3 linked regions of the Schizosaccharomyces pombe genome follow. The protein of the gene in region 2 binds, or shares a complex with, the protein of the main gene of each other region. Each region holds a gene or a part of one and is shown on either strand. Other genes may lie near its edges.

Evidence for each region.
Region 1: laf2 (region 2) and rxt3 share a complex: the UniProt entries of both Schizosaccharomyces pombe proteins name them as parts of the RPD3C(L) complex.
Region 3: laf2 (region 2) and dep1 share a complex: the UniProt entries of both Schizosaccharomyces pombe proteins name them as parts of the RPD3C(L) complex.

What each region holds. Positions count from the first base shown.
Region 1 is NC_003421.2:1,042,800-1,048,343, reverse strand, and holds rxt3 (Clr6 and Rpd3L histone deacetylase complex LCCL domain subunit Rxt3), read right to left. Parts: upstream 2,878-5,544; coding exon 2,846-2,877; exon of another isoform or gene 2,800-2,845; coding exon 1,776-2,799; 3' UTR 887-1,775; downstream 1-886. Other genes in the region: SPOM_SPCC1259.16 (uncharacterized protein), read left to right, coding at 3,457-3,587, 3,641-3,722; taf8 (transcription factor TFIID complex subunit 8), read right to left, coding at 3,789-4,363, 4,420-4,513; cox9 (cytochrome c oxidase subunit VIIa), read left to right, coding at 5,467-5,501. UniProt on the Schizosaccharomyces pombe protein: Component of the RPD3C(L) histone deacetylase complex (HDAC) responsible for the deacetylation of lysine residues on the N-terminal part of the core histones (H2A, H2B, H3 and H4).
Region 2 is NC_003421.2:396,332-401,639, reverse strand, and holds laf2 (Clr6-associated factor 2 Laf2), read right to left. Parts: upstream 2,637-5,308; 5' UTR 2,561-2,636; coding exon 1,742-2,560; 3' UTR 1,138-1,741; downstream 1-1,137. Other genes in the region: rpl1902 (60S ribosomal protein L19), read right to left, coding at 292-873. UniProt on the Schizosaccharomyces pombe protein: Component of the RPD3C(L) histone deacetylase complex (HDAC) responsible for the deacetylation of lysine residues on the N-terminal part of the core histones (H2A, H2B, H3 and H4).
Region 3 is NC_003423.3:3,798,180-3,803,976, reverse strand, and holds dep1 (Rpd3L histone deacetylase complex subunit, Sds3-like family protein Dep1), read left to right. Parts: upstream 1-2,827; 5' UTR 2,828-2,970; coding exon 2,971-4,446; 3' UTR 4,447-4,792; downstream 4,793-5,797. Other genes in the region: cqd1 (ABC1 kinase family protein ), read right to left, coding at 1-1,092, 1,148-1,780; vps1301 (lipid transfer protein), read left to right, coding at 5,274-5,295, 5,347-5,459, 5,511-5,797. UniProt on the Schizosaccharomyces pombe protein: Component of the RPD3C(L) histone deacetylase complex (HDAC) responsible for the deacetylation of lysine residues on the N-terminal part of the core histones (H2A, H2B, H3 and H4).

The sequences.
Region 1 (5,544 bases), 650 kb from region 2:
AGTCAATCGATCAATAAGTGATAAACAACGAGAGGCTCAAGTTTTTAAGAAGTATAAATAAAAAATTATGAGAGGTACAAACGAAAAGTCACTTGGACAGCAGTGAGTAAGTAAGACGAGCGTCGCAAAAATCAAGTTTTAAAAAAATACTATAAGTCGATAAAAGAATTACTTGTTGAACCTATAACGACACGAAAGAAGATATTCACGTGAATTTGTTAAAGAGAATACATGATTTCCAAAAATATTCTCAAATAGTCTTCACAATAAAATATATATATGATCGTTTTTCTTCTTTTTGAAAATAGAGCAAAAGCAAAACTGAGTTAAAATCGCCAACAACAATTTCTCAGTACTTTGAATGACTTTACCAACGTAATAAAAGAAATCACGGTGATTTTGACGACCTTGCAATCCTGCAGATAATTTTGAGGGATCGAAAAAGCACTTAGCGATTAAGACTAATAGAGTGCTGTACCTCAGATGTACGTCTCCTCTTTAGCAAGTGAAACAAGATAATACACAGTTTCGTCGTCCAATTCACCAATTGAGTAGTAGATGGCTAGTCGTTGAACCAGTCAGAAACCAAGAACTGGAATCTTGATATACCAGAAATTGAGTTGCACGCGGCTTTTAAGGCAACGCTCTTATTTATGTCGTGTACTCCAAAGTTATGGTTGGGAAAAGAAGAAAGCGTACCGCCCCCGCTCTCAAGTCATTCAGCCTTATTTAGGGTAGGGTTCCGAAAACCAGTCTAACGCATATGTAATGTATGATGTTGGCCGCCGCCCTAGTTGTTAGTGCAAAAATAAATATTTAGCATCCAACAAGGATAAATTGATGTACAGTGTGCTGCGTCTTACGATCGTCGCCTAAAAGGTTGCTACACCTTTTCGAATATTTTCAAAGTTTTGTTTTACCATCGATTTTATACTCGTAAATAATATATTCTACATGTTTTAACTTGCCCTAGATTTTTGAAATTTAAATAATGAGCGGCAATTTTACATTTTGAAACGACGGCGCAAAAGTAATGAAAATTTCTGTAATTCCGCTATGATTCCATTCCGCGTCCTCATTAGTTCCGCAAACTTTATAATCAACAATACTCAATACACGGAGGAAATTAGACAATGCCAGATAATTAATTATTCACGTTGTTCTTTTGTATCTTCAGTTAATCAGCTGAACAAAGACAAACTGTCTGTTTGTGTTGTTATGGCACGAGTAATGAGACCGACGTATCGTTGTCATGTAAATAAAGCAGTGGTAAAAAAAAAAAAGAAAAAAAAAAGAGGCCTCTATTAACAAAAAAAAGGGTTTAATAGTATTGAAGGTATTTAAATTAAAAACGTATATACTTTGATTGTAGAACCGAAAATATCCAAACCAGACTGCGGAAGTCTACTATTGATTGCTATGATCATCGGATCAATATACTATCTGCGGGATACCTAATTTTGGAGGCGAGCGTTCGCACGAGTAACTAGGAACGAGGACGCCAAGGCAAAGGAATTTTGCAAAACCAATGCGATATTGTACAACGCTAATTGCTTATGTAGTAATTGCACATCAACGGACACATTATTACACGAATTTGACATAGACAAAAAAGACAGTTAGCGAAGTAGAGCGAGAAGCTTTTGCGATTCCGTAAATTCGCGAAAGTGAAATTGAATGAAGTGTTGAAAAATAAGTAATTTCTTGGTACAGGCAGATATATAAAAAGAAAAAAAAATATTTTTGAAAAGAAACCGATTAATAATATCAAAAAATTAGATTTTAAAAGTAGAAGAGCGTGATAGCTCTAAGCGAGCTTGTAGCCGTTCTTCCAGAGTGAGTGTATGTATGGAGTTTTCAAAAATTGAGGCACACGCTGGCTTCCAAGTTACTTCTTTTATTTTAAGACTTATGCCATCTTGACGAGAAGACCAGCTTCTACTCTCAATTTGGTTTTTCCTAGTGCCTTTGTAATGAACTAAAGGAGGAAGTATGTACAAGTCGACAACGGCAATTTTTCTGACTGGCTTCAAAAGAGAAAAGCATCCACAATGGGCAAGTATAGTAGCAATATCGGAATCATCAGTATACACATCGGTCCCCCATATTTCTCGTCTGCAAAGTCTGGGATTGATGGCTGCATTCAGCCATTTGATGTCGATTGTCACACGAACGAACTTACCAATTGAGGAATATAAAAGAGGAAATTCAAGCCAAGGAGTGTATTCATATTCGGTGACTGGAAATAAAGATTCAGACGCTGGATATCGGTTAAGAAAAGGTTCCAACGCACTATTATCTATACTGATTATCGGAGAAACGAATTGTCGAACTTGGAATTGCGGATAAGATGTCGTTTTGGACAAGGAAGTTGATAAATTGGATGGACGCGATTCCATACTAATGGAATCAGCACTTGTAGCCGTTGGCGCTCCAGGATGTGAATACTTGGCTTCCTCTTCTCCTGATGACTGAGTAGGAAGAGTTTTTTGACGTTTAACAGAGCTTGTATTTTCCTCTTGGTCGGAAACCCCTTTCCTTTCCCAAACTGAATTTGGATATTTGGCTTCAGAAGGTTGTTTGGTATATGACATGGGTGTCGATGTAGCCATTGGTAAAGTATTCATATTCATATTCCCCATTCCATTTTCCGAGTACTCAGGATCTCCGTTATCATTAGAACTTTCTAAGATAGACCCTATAGAAAGCTTGATATTTGAAGGTTGAGATGGCTGTGAGCTACCATTTGTACTAGTTTCTTCTATTTTCATAGAGTCCTTTGGATCAAATGTTTTTTTCCTACAAGTTAGTTTAACAAACTAAAAAAGTTCCCTGAAATACATACGATTGCTCATTTTCTGGTGTCTTTTCCTCCATGAATGTTTATAATCTAATGTTCAACTCGTCACCGAGATTTGTAGGCTTGATTTAACCATAGTACGGTAAAAATCGCTATGCGCTTTAAAGCATCGGTAGTATTTGTCTACATACATTTCATATAATCTACTGTCGTTAGCATATGACATTAGTCTTCAAAACCTTGGATAAGATTATTCATACTTGGATTTTACCCATTTCAAATAACCTAAGGGTGTAATGAAGAGATGCTGCGTATTCACTGAAGAAATTGCTTTATGCTGGAACTTTATAAAAATACAGTTGCAAGACAAGTCTGATAGCGATTACTTTAAAGCAAATATTCGTAAATACACAAAAAAGTACAACTTAGTTACATTCGCACAGAACGATCGAAAAACCCTGTGGCGTAGAATTTGTACTAGAGCCTCTATTATTTCATTTGTTTATTAACTCCTTACGTTATTTTACTACTTAAATACAAGAGAAAGAGGGGATCAAGGCAATTTTATTGAATGAAGGAGTAGCGACAAATAATAAAAATAGGTTGATTGAAAGCGGAACTAACTGCACAAAGAGAAAAGGAAATTTTCATTCGCAATGTCACAAAAAAGTCATAAAGAGAAACTTGAAAAGCCGGCATATAAATGCATGAAACAATATATCTGTGAAAAAGTAAGTGCACATGAGAACGACGTCGTCTGTATTACAGTTCAAAGATTTTTTCAAGTGTAAGTCTATAGGGAACATTATTATAGAGAAAGAAAAGCTAATGCAAAAATAGGGTGGATGGACACATGAAGGAAGTTCGACCAATGTCAAATCAGATTGGGTTACAGTCAGGACCTGTCGTTGAGAAAAATTAAAAAAAAAAAGGAAATAAGTTAATCTTTTTTTGATTAACGTAAAAGGAAAGAAATTAACAAGTATATTCACCTTTGGGAGCTCCATTTTTGGGATTCCCAATTTACTAAGTGAAATGACGAAACATCGAGATTTAGCTCGGAGCACGCTTTTTCAAATGAGGCATGACGAGGCGAATCGGCAGAACGTGGTTGATTAACATTTAAAATTTTACGAAGAGCATGTTCAGCAAGCCTGGATTCTTGAGTTGCGAGTTCACGAATCTGTTTAGGAGATGTAGGACGAACGGGATATACGGGGGTAGCCATGTAAGTATGTGATGCAGGAAAAGGAGGTAAATGATTAACGACATAAGCTGGTCTATTTTGAGACACTGCCAGGGATCCCAAAAGTTGAGATACCATTTTCGAATCCAAGGATGATTTGAATTTTGAAGGGATATCCTGACTTTCATTGGCCAGTCTATCTAGTTCATCATTAATTGCAGGAGGTAAAGGTTTTAAATATTTTTCTAATTCTGTTTGAAGGCTTGACATGGGTATATTCAACAAATTGAGCCATAAGGCCACATCTTTAGTCGTAGGAATTGTGTGTTTGCTCAATTGAGTATGAAGAGCAAGTTCTCGAAAAGAGTTCCTCAAATCTATTATTGCTATTAGAAATAAAGAATTTTAATTTTCTCGGTTCGACAGGACTTACATTTGTCCACAGCTTCAACAAAGGATGCTTCTGCTGCTTTAGTCATGCTATCGAATCCCAACTGCTGTAGAATATTCGCGATCACGGCTTCCATGCTGCTAATATATATATTATAAATTTTAGGCTCAAGGATTATAGTTTATTGATTTGCTAGTGCAGCTTTTAGAGACGTTCGTTTACTTTGCGTCGATTTTGAACTATATTTAATTTAGAAGCGAATTTTGAATGTATGCGATGTATGTTTTTAATTAAAAAAATCGAAAATGTCTTCTTTCTCAGTAATATTCAGGTAAAACTAGAATCCCTTCAGAATGCACTTTCTAAGCTTTTTCGTCACAGTTTTTTGTGCGAACCAAGTACTCTGCTCGTGTTACAGTGCTGCATTATTCATATATAATGCGATCAACAGCAATTTGCTATTTGCTATAGCGAAATACATCCTAGCACAATTATTGTTAATCATGTAAACTAAATGGATATAATGAATTGTTCAGAACAAAAGACATAAATAAGCATAAAATGTAACTTTTACAGATTTATTTTTACTTCAATCTTCATGGTATGATTTAGTTAGAACAAAGTCATTCAATCAATAAATACTTGCGAGTATCTATGCCTCATCCGCTACAGAACAAGAAAAACAATGTTTCTTAGCTTACCTTTCGAATTATGGTATTTAAGGATCAATAGTATATGATATACGATGGTATTGTACCGTTAAACAACGTAAAAAATTTGCAGAAATTTAGAAATGTAAAAAGTAATACAATATATATCGAGTGCACTATTAATAGGTATCGTTACTAGTTGCTTAAGACCATTCAAAGGCCGACTTATCTTCATTATGTTGTATTATTTTTTTTGTTTTTGAAATATAGCACATTTCTTCGAATTTTGAAATCTTAAATTAACAAACTTTAGTGAGTAATAGAAGATCACCTCCGTCTGTCCACACAAACTAAGTCGGATTCTGCTTACATTTCTTATACCAACTCCCCTCTCTTGACAAATATTTGAAGTTGTTTAAATTATTGCTGTATCATCAAAATGGCTGTCGGTCCTGTAACTGGAATGTTTAAAAGGTAAGGAATGGTTTTGAATAACGCCGTATGTCTGAATCCGCTG
Region 2 (5,308 bases):
TATATGTTACAAATCAATAATAAAACACAATACCTCAGTAGTTTAAACTTAGTGCTGTTTAACTATGAACGACATAACATACTCATAGATTAATTAGTACAGATGAATTGAAAAAATTTTTTAACTTCCAGTCCGAAGTCATTTGTCAAAGGAGAAAGTTCTACAATCTACGAATTCGTTTCACCTTACTAATGTACACAACAAGCATAGTATATTTAAAACACTATTGAAAAATTAATTTACCGCCTAAACCAAAAGTGCATATGTCAAAACATAAATGTATTAAGGCAATTATTCCTCGATCTTTTCGGCAGCAGTGTAAATTTGCTCACGTTTTTCTTCAACAGCCTTGGCTCTACGTTGACGGGCAGCCTTGGCACGAGCACGACGAGCATCTTGTTGCTCTTGGATCAACTTGGTACGGTTGGCCTCGGCCTTGGCACGTTGGATATGTTCAATCAAGGCACGTTTGTGCTTGAAGGTGTTACCCTTGGCTTCCAAATAAAGAGTGTGGTAAAGATGCTTATCTATCTTACCAGACTCACGGTACTTGCGAAGGAGACGACGCAAGACACGTTGACGACGCATCCAAACAACAGTAGAGGGCATACGAGCCTCAGCAGTACCCTTACGCTTACCATAACCGGTGTGACGACCAAGACGCTTGGCAGCATGAGTTTTACGGATACGGAAACGAGAGTGCATCAAATTGGGCTTGCGAATGACCAAACCATCCTTGACCAATTTGCGGATATTTTGACGGCTGTTAGCATTGCTAATTTCACTGATCTCATTGGGATCCATCCAAACTTTGCGCTTGCCGCATTTTAAAACAGAGGCAGCAAGACGCTTCTGTGTTCTCAGATTTGCCATTGTTAATATGGGTTGGGTTGGGGACGATTGTGCTTTTAGTCTTTCAAATTGTCTAATCAAAGCAGTCACAATGTGTTGTGTTTAACCCTACCCTCAATTTTTACAAAAAAACAAGTGACGATATCATATAGGTAACATTGACTAATTGAGTAGTATGGAAAATGTAAATAATTGAAAATGCAAAAAGCTCAAAGAAAAAAGCCGAATTGTTAGTTACTACTACAATGGAAAGATGCATTAAATATGTCACAAAATCTTAAGAAATACTGAGGAATATAAAAAGAATGATTATTAAAGAAAATGCTTCAACAAGGATGATCGCAAAGTATTTTCTACCTCATTTTTCTGCTTTTAAATATATAATTAAGTATAAATAAAGGAATCAAAATGGAGAGTAGAGAGTTGGAAGAACACAGCCTCTCATCAAAAATTTTTGAGCATTTTTTAGGTAGCCTTTTTTTAAAAGCATGATATACTAGGTACAATGTTAGAAAATACAAACGGCACTCCCAAAGACCATATATACAATAGCTTCTCTTTTTTTTAAATACAAGGATCATAATAAAATGAAAAGAAGACAATATAAAGAACGAATTAAGCTTAATTAAGCATACCAACCAAAAATCTGAAGAGAAAAGAAGGGTATAAAATGGTTACAAAGTATAAACAAGCACAAAATGTAGCTTTAAGTTAACACTTTGCTGAGTGTACAAAAAGAAAGACTTTTTTAAAAATTGGTAAATGGGGTAGTAAAGTCTTTTAAGCAGAGAAAATAACAATAAAAGCAAATTTGGTATGAAAGGGTATTTGGAGAGCAAGATGGGTGATTCAACAAAATATTTCCATCTTAGCACAGAAGGTAAAAGGTTTAATCGTCGAAAAAGCCGACTTCATGAAATGCCTTCCATAAACGGCTGGCTTTGTTTACGTCAACTCGACTAGCCCTTTGAGCATCAGTTTTTCGAAAAGTAAGTCCTTGTTGACGACGATGATGCCATTCCGCAAATATTCTTTTTTTGTTATCAAGATAAATCAAACATGGAAGACGAAGAGTCGAAGCCAAATGTAATTCAGCAGGGTGCAAGAGATCGCGATAAGGGTCATCACTAAGGTCCAAAGGCGGACCTTTCCACTCAGCTTTTAGTGTACGAGGATGCGTACGGTTGTCCAGTACAGACATGTCAGGACAGAAATTCGGCAACTCTTCAAAGGGAAGGTTGGCAACATCGATGGCACCATTAAGCCCATTTCCACGAGCCGATTTTCTTCTACGGGCCTCAATAGTGGAAGGACTAGAAGAGATGCTTCTTTCAGCAGACCGGAGAGCACCGCTGTAACTTGGTGACGAGTCTCGAGAAGAGACACTACTGCGTCCGCGAGAGCCAGAAGATGAAGAGACATTGGAATGCCTGTTAGCCCATCGACCTACATGATTATTACGACGAGCTTTAGGAATTGGATGAATCCGTTTACGACGCAACCATATTAATTCTTGCTGCAACCAAAGTTTCGGTTGATTTTTGTAAACTTCGTAAACAATTCCTTTCATGCAAGCTCGCATGCCATGTCTCCTCGAAATATTTGTATATGATAAAGATTTCTGTTTAGGAGGAGACAATGGCGGTGTAATTAAAACAAAGCTACCTCCATCGGGATTTAAGTTCTCCTGATCTTTTAAAATTTGCATCTTTGAAATTCGATTTCTCAATACAATTGACCGCGGAAGAAACCTCAATGGGTAATTTCTGTGCTTTGCAGAAGACAACTTTTCGGTGGACTAGGGTTTCGTTGTCACTTTGTTACTCTCCGTTGTAGAAAGCAATGTTTTCGATTCGTATTCAAAGAAAACTTGTTTAGCAGAAGGTACAAGTGTTTTTGCATGCTTTCTATTATTATAAAACAAAACATTCTCAAAACACTTTGTTAGGTTTCTATTGAAAATACGATCCATGATGAGTATTTTTGCAAGACTAAATATCACAATTGTATCACATCTTGCTAATTATAGATAGGCAAAAATTTTAAACAAAAAAATAAAAAAAGTTTGATTCAATGTTTTTATGCAATTTTAAACGGTACAGTTTAAATATGTACCTAATCGAATTGTAAACATATACTTCAAGTACCTAGTACTTGGGAATTGCATTTCTTCAAACTTAACCTTTATGACCAGCGGATATTATTTCATTTGGCTATAGAATATCTTATGCAGATAGCATTTTTTCAAATCGAAATTGTTTTATAGTGAGATGTCGCTTTGCAATACTTGACGATCAAAAAATACAGCTATAAAATACTATTCGTTCACTGCATGTGGTTTTTGGATTGTCTAATTGATTTAGCATAATGAGGATACTAAAATTAAGATGCAGTAAATTATCCTTACTTTTGTGGAATTGTGTAAATAACAAGAACACCAATTGTTTACAAGGTATTCGAGTAAATAATCCATTTCAATTTCAGTATAATAGACTCCAAATAGATATTTAGTTCCGTTTAAAAAATTAAAATTAAAATGTAATTTAACCAAGCATTAAAAATAAAAAATAAACAATGAATTTGTTAACTCAATGGATGTGAATATTGTTACACCTTTATGCTTACTCTTAGCGAAAACGTGCGATAATTTATTTAAAATGGACCAGATAATTCAGAAATACTTCTAATTTTAAATCCCGATTACAATACACTGGTGCTATTCTGTAGAGTGTTTTCGTTCGTTTTGCAATTTTTTACAATCAATCCAGACAAACGCTTTGTTCATATTATAAAAATTCTAGTTGAAGTAATGCTTCCAAAAAGTGATAAATTAAATAAAATACCAAAGTTGAAGGAATAAAGTTTACTATATTAGTACTCACAGCAATTTAGTGTTCATATTCTAATTATTAGGTCTGAAAACCTTTTGGAAAAAATGACTGTTTCAGAATCTATAACATTGATTTCAAAAAAAAAAACAATAAACAATAAATCGATTGATGTTAGGATTTTAGAAAATATTTTCAAATCAATGAAATTGCATATGGAAAATAGTAGTTTTATTTACACGTTGAAGGGAATTCTACCTGTCAACGCAAAAAAATAAAAAAATAAAAAAAATTAATGTGACAACATAGTGTAAGCTAAGAAGATAATGATAATTATAAAGATTAAATAATATATTTATATACTACATGCTAAACAATATTTGACTTTGTTCCCAGATCTTTATTTCAGGTTTTGACCAAGGAAACGATACTAAATTGCGTTACCTATCGCCATAACCTATAAGTCACCCATAGTCAGATTCTAGTGATAAAGATTCATTGCTATAGTTAACTTACCTAAAGAATATAATATAATAAAACATTACTGTCCTACTAAACTTCTTAGTTCAATAGCACGGCCATCTTTTTTAAACAATACCACTAGACGGTTTTCAGCCTAACGCATCATTATGTCTGCATAATGAAATTTCTTAAATTACTTTAACGAGATTACACTGCAGTACATAGTATTGTTAGGTCAGATTAATACAGTTCAAGGTCAGTTTGGATTGATGCGCTGAGAAAGATAACGAAAAATAACGAAAAATAACGCGACTTTATCGACACGAAAAATTTTCAAAAAATAGCGATTTCTCCCTTTTCACAGTACCGGCGAGACAATTGGGGAAGGACTTGAGGAAGATATTACTTTTGGATCCATAAAGTTGTTTTCGTACATTAGATATCCATATCCTTTTCCGACTTTTTTGTCTTTCGTGGGTAACGACGTTTGTTTACGTTACAGTAGTATTACCAGTTTTCTGGCGAGTTCTTTTCCCTTAGTTGTTAAGAAGTTGATTGTTTTTATTGCTTTCCGCGTTTAAAAATATAAAACGCGAAAGCACGTGTCGTTGTCTCTTTATCCTCTTTTTTGTTCTATGGAGTGTTAAATCGTAGAGCTGGATAACTTCCATTTTTTATTTATACATTACTTTCAAAAATATTCGAAACACACAAAAGTTGCCTGGTTTATTATTATATAGTTTTTTTGTTACGTTCTATCAAATTTTTGAAAACACGTCAAATCCTCGTTTCTAATTACCCGCCGAATTTTTTGCATCACTTTATATCCTTTTCATTTAAAAGTAATTTTAATCACTTTATCTACGGTTTCGTCTGCTTTACCACCTTTGCATTATTTTTTTCTAAATTCATTTACTACACCTATAGTGGCTGGTCATTTCAAAATAATTTGTGAGTTTAAATTTTCTCATTGAACGCTTTTTTTTTGCTTTATTTTATTTTTGGTGTTTTTATTTTCGACAACTCACGAATAAGTTTGTTTACATTCGTTTTTGTTGATTGTTTACATCAAACTGCTTACTCCGTTCACAATAGCTCTTGAAGATAATTGTGAAAAGCATCACTCTTCTTTTCTACGTTTCTTGCTTTAAAAGATAGCTTTTTTT
Region 3 (5,797 bases), on a different chromosome or scaffold from region 2:
ATTCAACAAATGTTCCATTTTAAGAGCAAATATGTCTTTGTTTATAACGCGTTCTGTCTGCCTGCTCCTTTCAACCATCAACAGTCCAGCCTCATAGCCATGGAAAGTAAGTACGGCTTGAAACAGATCCAAAAAATTTTTCTGATCCTGCGTACTAAGTTTCGTTACTAATCCAGCATCCAAAAATACTAAAGTCGGTCGATAGCCCAAGATGTTTAATTCTTCCATAGCAGAATCCCATTCCTCCGTCGAACATGTACTTAGAATTTTATAAATTGAGTCATTAATCTCATTATCTTGATTAAAGATTGTTTTAGGGATTCCTTTGTAAAATTTAACAAGGACATTACCCGGATGAAGATCAGCATGTGTAAAGTTGTCAACAATAAGCATTTGAAATAATGCATTATTTCCTGTGTTAGCTAACAACTTGTTAAATGGTCCTGACTTATGTTTGAGGAACGCGCTTAATGGGATACCCGGCATATAGTCTTCTAGTAGGATTTGATTAGTCGTGTAATCATCATAGGGAGCTGGAAATTCAACATATCTATTTCCTCTAAAGTTAAGACGGAACTGGTTGAGATGAAGCGCCTCATAATGTAAATTCAATTGCTGGTTTAACATTGCCCCAAATACCTTAACTTCGTCGGGCAGAGAAAGCCACTTCATTGAAGGTACCAAATTAATTAATTTTGCGAAGAAACCTAAGATTTGTAAGTCTAAAGAAATGTATTTTTCAACATTCGGGTGCAAAACTTTAATGGCTACATCTTGAGTCACTGGCGCATCAGAGATATTTTTCTGTCGAAACCCTATAGATTGTAGCATACTTGTAAAGTAGGAATTATCTTGCTGCGTAGCTGCTTTCTTGATGGTAGCCGTATAGACTTGAGCAATTGCTCCAACACCTATAGGTATTGGGTTAAAATTAACAAAAATTTCCTCGATAGATTCCACTTTATAAGTCTTGCAGATGACTGATTGAGTATAGGCAAGGCTGTGGGGCGTTACATGTGAATGTAATTTGGACAGTGTTTTACAGAAAGCAGGAGGAAACAAATCTGTCCGTGAAGCAGCCCATTGTCCCAACTGCAAAATAAAAAAATAATGTTAGTAACATGATAAGCGTAAATTCAAAACGTACCTTGATAAACGTTGCTCCTGCTCTTTCTAATTGAGTAACGAGGAAACGAAGCCAAATGGATACGGTTAAAGACGACAAAGATCGAAGATGCAGGAAAGAAATAAGAGCGATAAACGGTAAGGTAATAATAATTGGAGAGAAAATAATAAATAAATTAAATGACCTGAGGAGAATATTAAAAAATTGTTTTATTTTTCCAAAAATAGAACGAGGTCGATTGCTTCTCTCTTCTAATTCAAGTTCGTCAAAGGAGAAAATATTATTCTTTCGATTTTTGACTCTGTATAAAATCCATAATCCTCCGACCGTAAAAGGGAGGACAAGAAATGTAATCCTTAGTATCCTCCATTGCTTCTGGTCTTCACTTTTTTGTCGGGTTGTAAACTTTCTTGCAAATATAGGTTTGGGGAATAAAGATATATGCTTCAATCGATTAACCAGTACGTGCTTTTTTTTGTATGGTGACCAAACTGACTGTGTCCCGCATAACCTTTTCCATCTTGTGTTCTGCGAGTTAACGACAGGAATATAATTTCTTTGAATAATGAAAGCAAAACGAGAGTTTGCAGAAGGAATCATGCTTAGACTAAGTCCCGAACGTATGTGAGAATTCCAGTGAGAAAAACTAATCATGTTCACCAATTATTGACTTTCAGAAGAGCATTTCCTTATCAAGAATCAAAAAAATAAATAAACTAATTACAATGGGTATTTTCGATTGAAAACACTGGCAAACCTGATAAAGAAAATAGGAATTGTTCAATAAATGTGTATAGCAGCTACTAAAAGAGGTGTTTCAAAGAATTTAGGAAACCCTGTCAACCTTTAATATCTTGAAAATAAAGAATGCACCAGTTCAAAAATATTGCTCAAATTTACGTGTCACTAGTGTCTATTGGTGTCAACGTCGAATGACGCTGTCTACTTGTGACTGGGAGAAAGAAAAATAATAATTGTTAGCCAAAATGAAGACTGTAATAATAATCAATTCTTTCATTTTATAAATAAAATATTGACTAATTAATGCTCAGTTCCTATTTGGATTCTATAGAATTGAACTTACAGTATGATAAACTGGATATGATCATCTAGTACGTGAAGAAACATTTTTTTATTCATTATTACCAATAAAATGTAATTTATCAAAATTTCAAAGTTCTAATTGAAGGGAAGATTATTAAAATATAAAAAATGACTGATTATAGGAATCACATTTTTTTTCCTTATACACCTATAATCGGTAATATTCAAATAAGTTAAATAATCAGTTCATGGTAGTATTCTGCTGCCAAAGAGAGATAATTGTAAAATCGCTAGCAGTTGATAAAATAAAGTATAAATTGAAATTAAAATGGAATTGTTTGTACTGAATTAAAAAGCTTTACCATCATTACTTCAATTGCCGTTAACTCAGAGACTAGCATAGAGTTTATCTATAGAGACTCTTTGATTGATTTAATAAAAAGCCTTTGATCGACGATGGTTCATTCGCCAAGTTTCATTGATGAGTAACAGTTGACTGAGAATATTTCACCTAACCCATTCTTGATAAAAGTATAAATTGGAAGTGCTAATTTAGAACAAATTATTAAGTTCTTGGCTCAAAATTTTGAGATGTCCCTACAGGATGTGTAAAAGTTGAGTATGAATATTATTACTGATGCCCAGCTATCAAATGTCATCCTCTCCCCAACACTACCAATTCATTCGAAAACATACATATTGAATGAAAACACACGAAAATCAACGATACTGTTTTTTAGATTCTGACATTTGTAAATTACGAGAGGGTATTTTGAACGAAGTTGAAGAATTAATTCAGGATGACCGAAAATTTGCAGTCGGAATCAATTCCCCATGAAATACTCCCTAAGGAGCCTTTTGATTTACCAATGAACAACTTAAAAAGCTCTCCTAAAAATAAAGATTCAGAGAAACGAATAAATAATTCGATCGCTGAAAGTGAGCAGGTTGTTGATTCGGCTCTATCTAATCCAGAGACCAATGCTAATGAGGATATTATCGCACCTCAATTGCCTTCTCAAAATTCTGAAATCATTGAAAAAAACTCGCCAGTGAACAAACTGAACAGTTCCACGTCCCTCACAACTCATCAGTTAGCGTCACTTCCTAAATTAGAGGTAACAGATCATGATAATGTATCTGAGGCAGAAACTGTAGTCTTAAATGAAGATGAAGAGAAAGAAACATCTTTAGTTGGTTCGGTATCAGTCACTGAGGACTTAGGTGACTCAAGTGCAATTGGCAGAACCATACTGGTAAACAACTCTGTGGAACCTCAGATGGAAAACACAGCAAATATAACCATTGTTAGTCCTTCATTGAAGGAATCTGACTTTGAGTCTGAAGAAAAAGCTACCAATGACAACAATGGACTCATAGAGACTAACCACAACTCGAAACTTGAGGAGTCTTCTGAGCATGAGGAGGAAGAAGACGAAGAGTCGAATATTGAAAGAACCGAAGATTCTGACCACCAGATACCACAAAGAGGTGGAACTTTAGAAGCACCCAGAAAAGGTGGTCCTCGAAGTGGCGTTGGAAGTCGAAAGCGTAAACGTGCAACAGTTTCTCGAAAATGGTCTACTAACAGTGAGAGCAAAATAAAAAGGGTAGCTCTTGAGACCAGCCAAGAGGAATCCGATCGTGAGATTGCAGATCGTCGTTCCGCATCTGAACAGGCTCATGAAGCTGACGATGAAAAGGCTATAAAACGGAAAGAAGCGTTTGATGCTTTGCTAAATATAGAAACGGAGTTTACTTTTTTACGAAACCGTTTATATGGGAAGAAACTGTTAAAGCTGAACGAGCATGAGGAAATGATACAAAACGAAACCCATGAGCGTTTTAATGCCTGCATTGATCTTATAACAGAGCGGCGAGATGATCGTGTGCGTTTAGCTACTGAAAACCTCATGAAACAACTTGGGAATATAAAAAACGTAATGGACTATGTAACGAAACAGAGGAAGTATCAGTTACTGTTTGATAAAAGAAGAATACGACAAGCGCTTCTAACCAAAATTGCAACGAAGTGCTTTCAGCTTTTAAACAAACAAAAATCTGTTCACGATCCCACATATATTACTCAAAAAACCATGTCATATCGCCAAAGTGCCTTGTTACAGAAGCAACGAATTGAATATGAAGCTGCAGTTTTGTGTGAGCTTAATAGTTTTGCTGGGTTTCCGACAGCACCTATTATCGAAACAGCTTCTTTTGATGACATCCGCAACGACCTTTTAGAAATGGGATGCCTCAGTGAAAATCAAGACTAATTTCAAGCATCCTCATTCCCCGCGATAATTCCTAATTTCCTTCACGTTTTACTTCAATTTTGACACACAATTTCCTTTTTGGTACGGTGTCAAGAGTGTTTTTTTTTTTTCAGAGCCTAGTTAAAACTCTTGCCTTTCGTTATCTATTCTAATGTATTTTCTTTTTTTTTTTTTTTTTTTCTAAGCGATAATATAACACATTCGCTCTTCGTTTGTTTCATTTTCTTTAGAATTTACATATTCGGTTAATATTTTTAATTCAGTATTTGTTTCTGACTTAACTAATGAATTAATTTTACAGCGATTCTTTAAGTTTGTAACAGCTATCCGTCTTACTCATTTTGCCTTATAATAAATTTGCTTATGAACAATTAAGTATGTTTAAATTTGATAATAATCATGTGCTTCGCAATCAAAACTAGTTAAGCAAAGTATCCTACTTATCGTTCGATAAAGCTGACTTGTTGACGCATTCAATGGTGTGGCACTTAGCGCCGTAAACAAGTCCTATGTACATTTGAAGGATTTTAATTTAACTGATTTAATAAAAAAAAAAGATTTAGTTTGTTCAAATAAGTAAAGTAATACTCCTTTCACTTAGACTCAATCCGTTTGATGATAAAAAGGTGCGTTATACGGAAATGAAGTTTCCTCTTCTCATAATCGTTTTCTTTTTATATTGAATAATTTTGTTAAATGTATAAATGGAATAAAAAGATTTTCTTTTTCAACAAAACATTCCTCTATTCGCAATTGCATTGCTAACTTTCACCAAGTCGGATGCCAACTGCCTTTTACCTAATTTCAGTGTCAAAGAGCCAACAAACATGTTAGAAGGCCTAGTTGCCGGTATGAATTATACCTTTTTTTGAAAGACATTGATATTAATAAAATAATTAGGCCTCTTGAACAAAATTTTAGGTTCGTATGTTGACAACTTGGATACTAAACAACTAAACATCGGCGTTTGGGGTGGCCATGTTAGTTTGCATAATTTACGAATAAAACCTGAGGTAACTAAAAATGAACGATTGATTGCAGTTTCACTGACAATTGTTTTATAGGCCTTAGATAAACTCGGAATTCCCATTGAAATCACTAGTGGTTTAATTGGCACGTTTACGCTGGAAATTCCATGGTCGAATCTTCGGAACAAATCTTTAACGATCAATATTGAAGACATATATTTGTCAATTCATCCCCAAGCGAAAAACTCTTTAACACGCGATGAGTTGGAGCAATCTCAACAAGCTTTAAAGCAGGAACAGCTGGATAGTTTTGAAATCTTACGGAAAAATTTTCGAGAAACTTTAGAAGAGTCTTCATCAAATCCAAATATAAGTAGAAAACA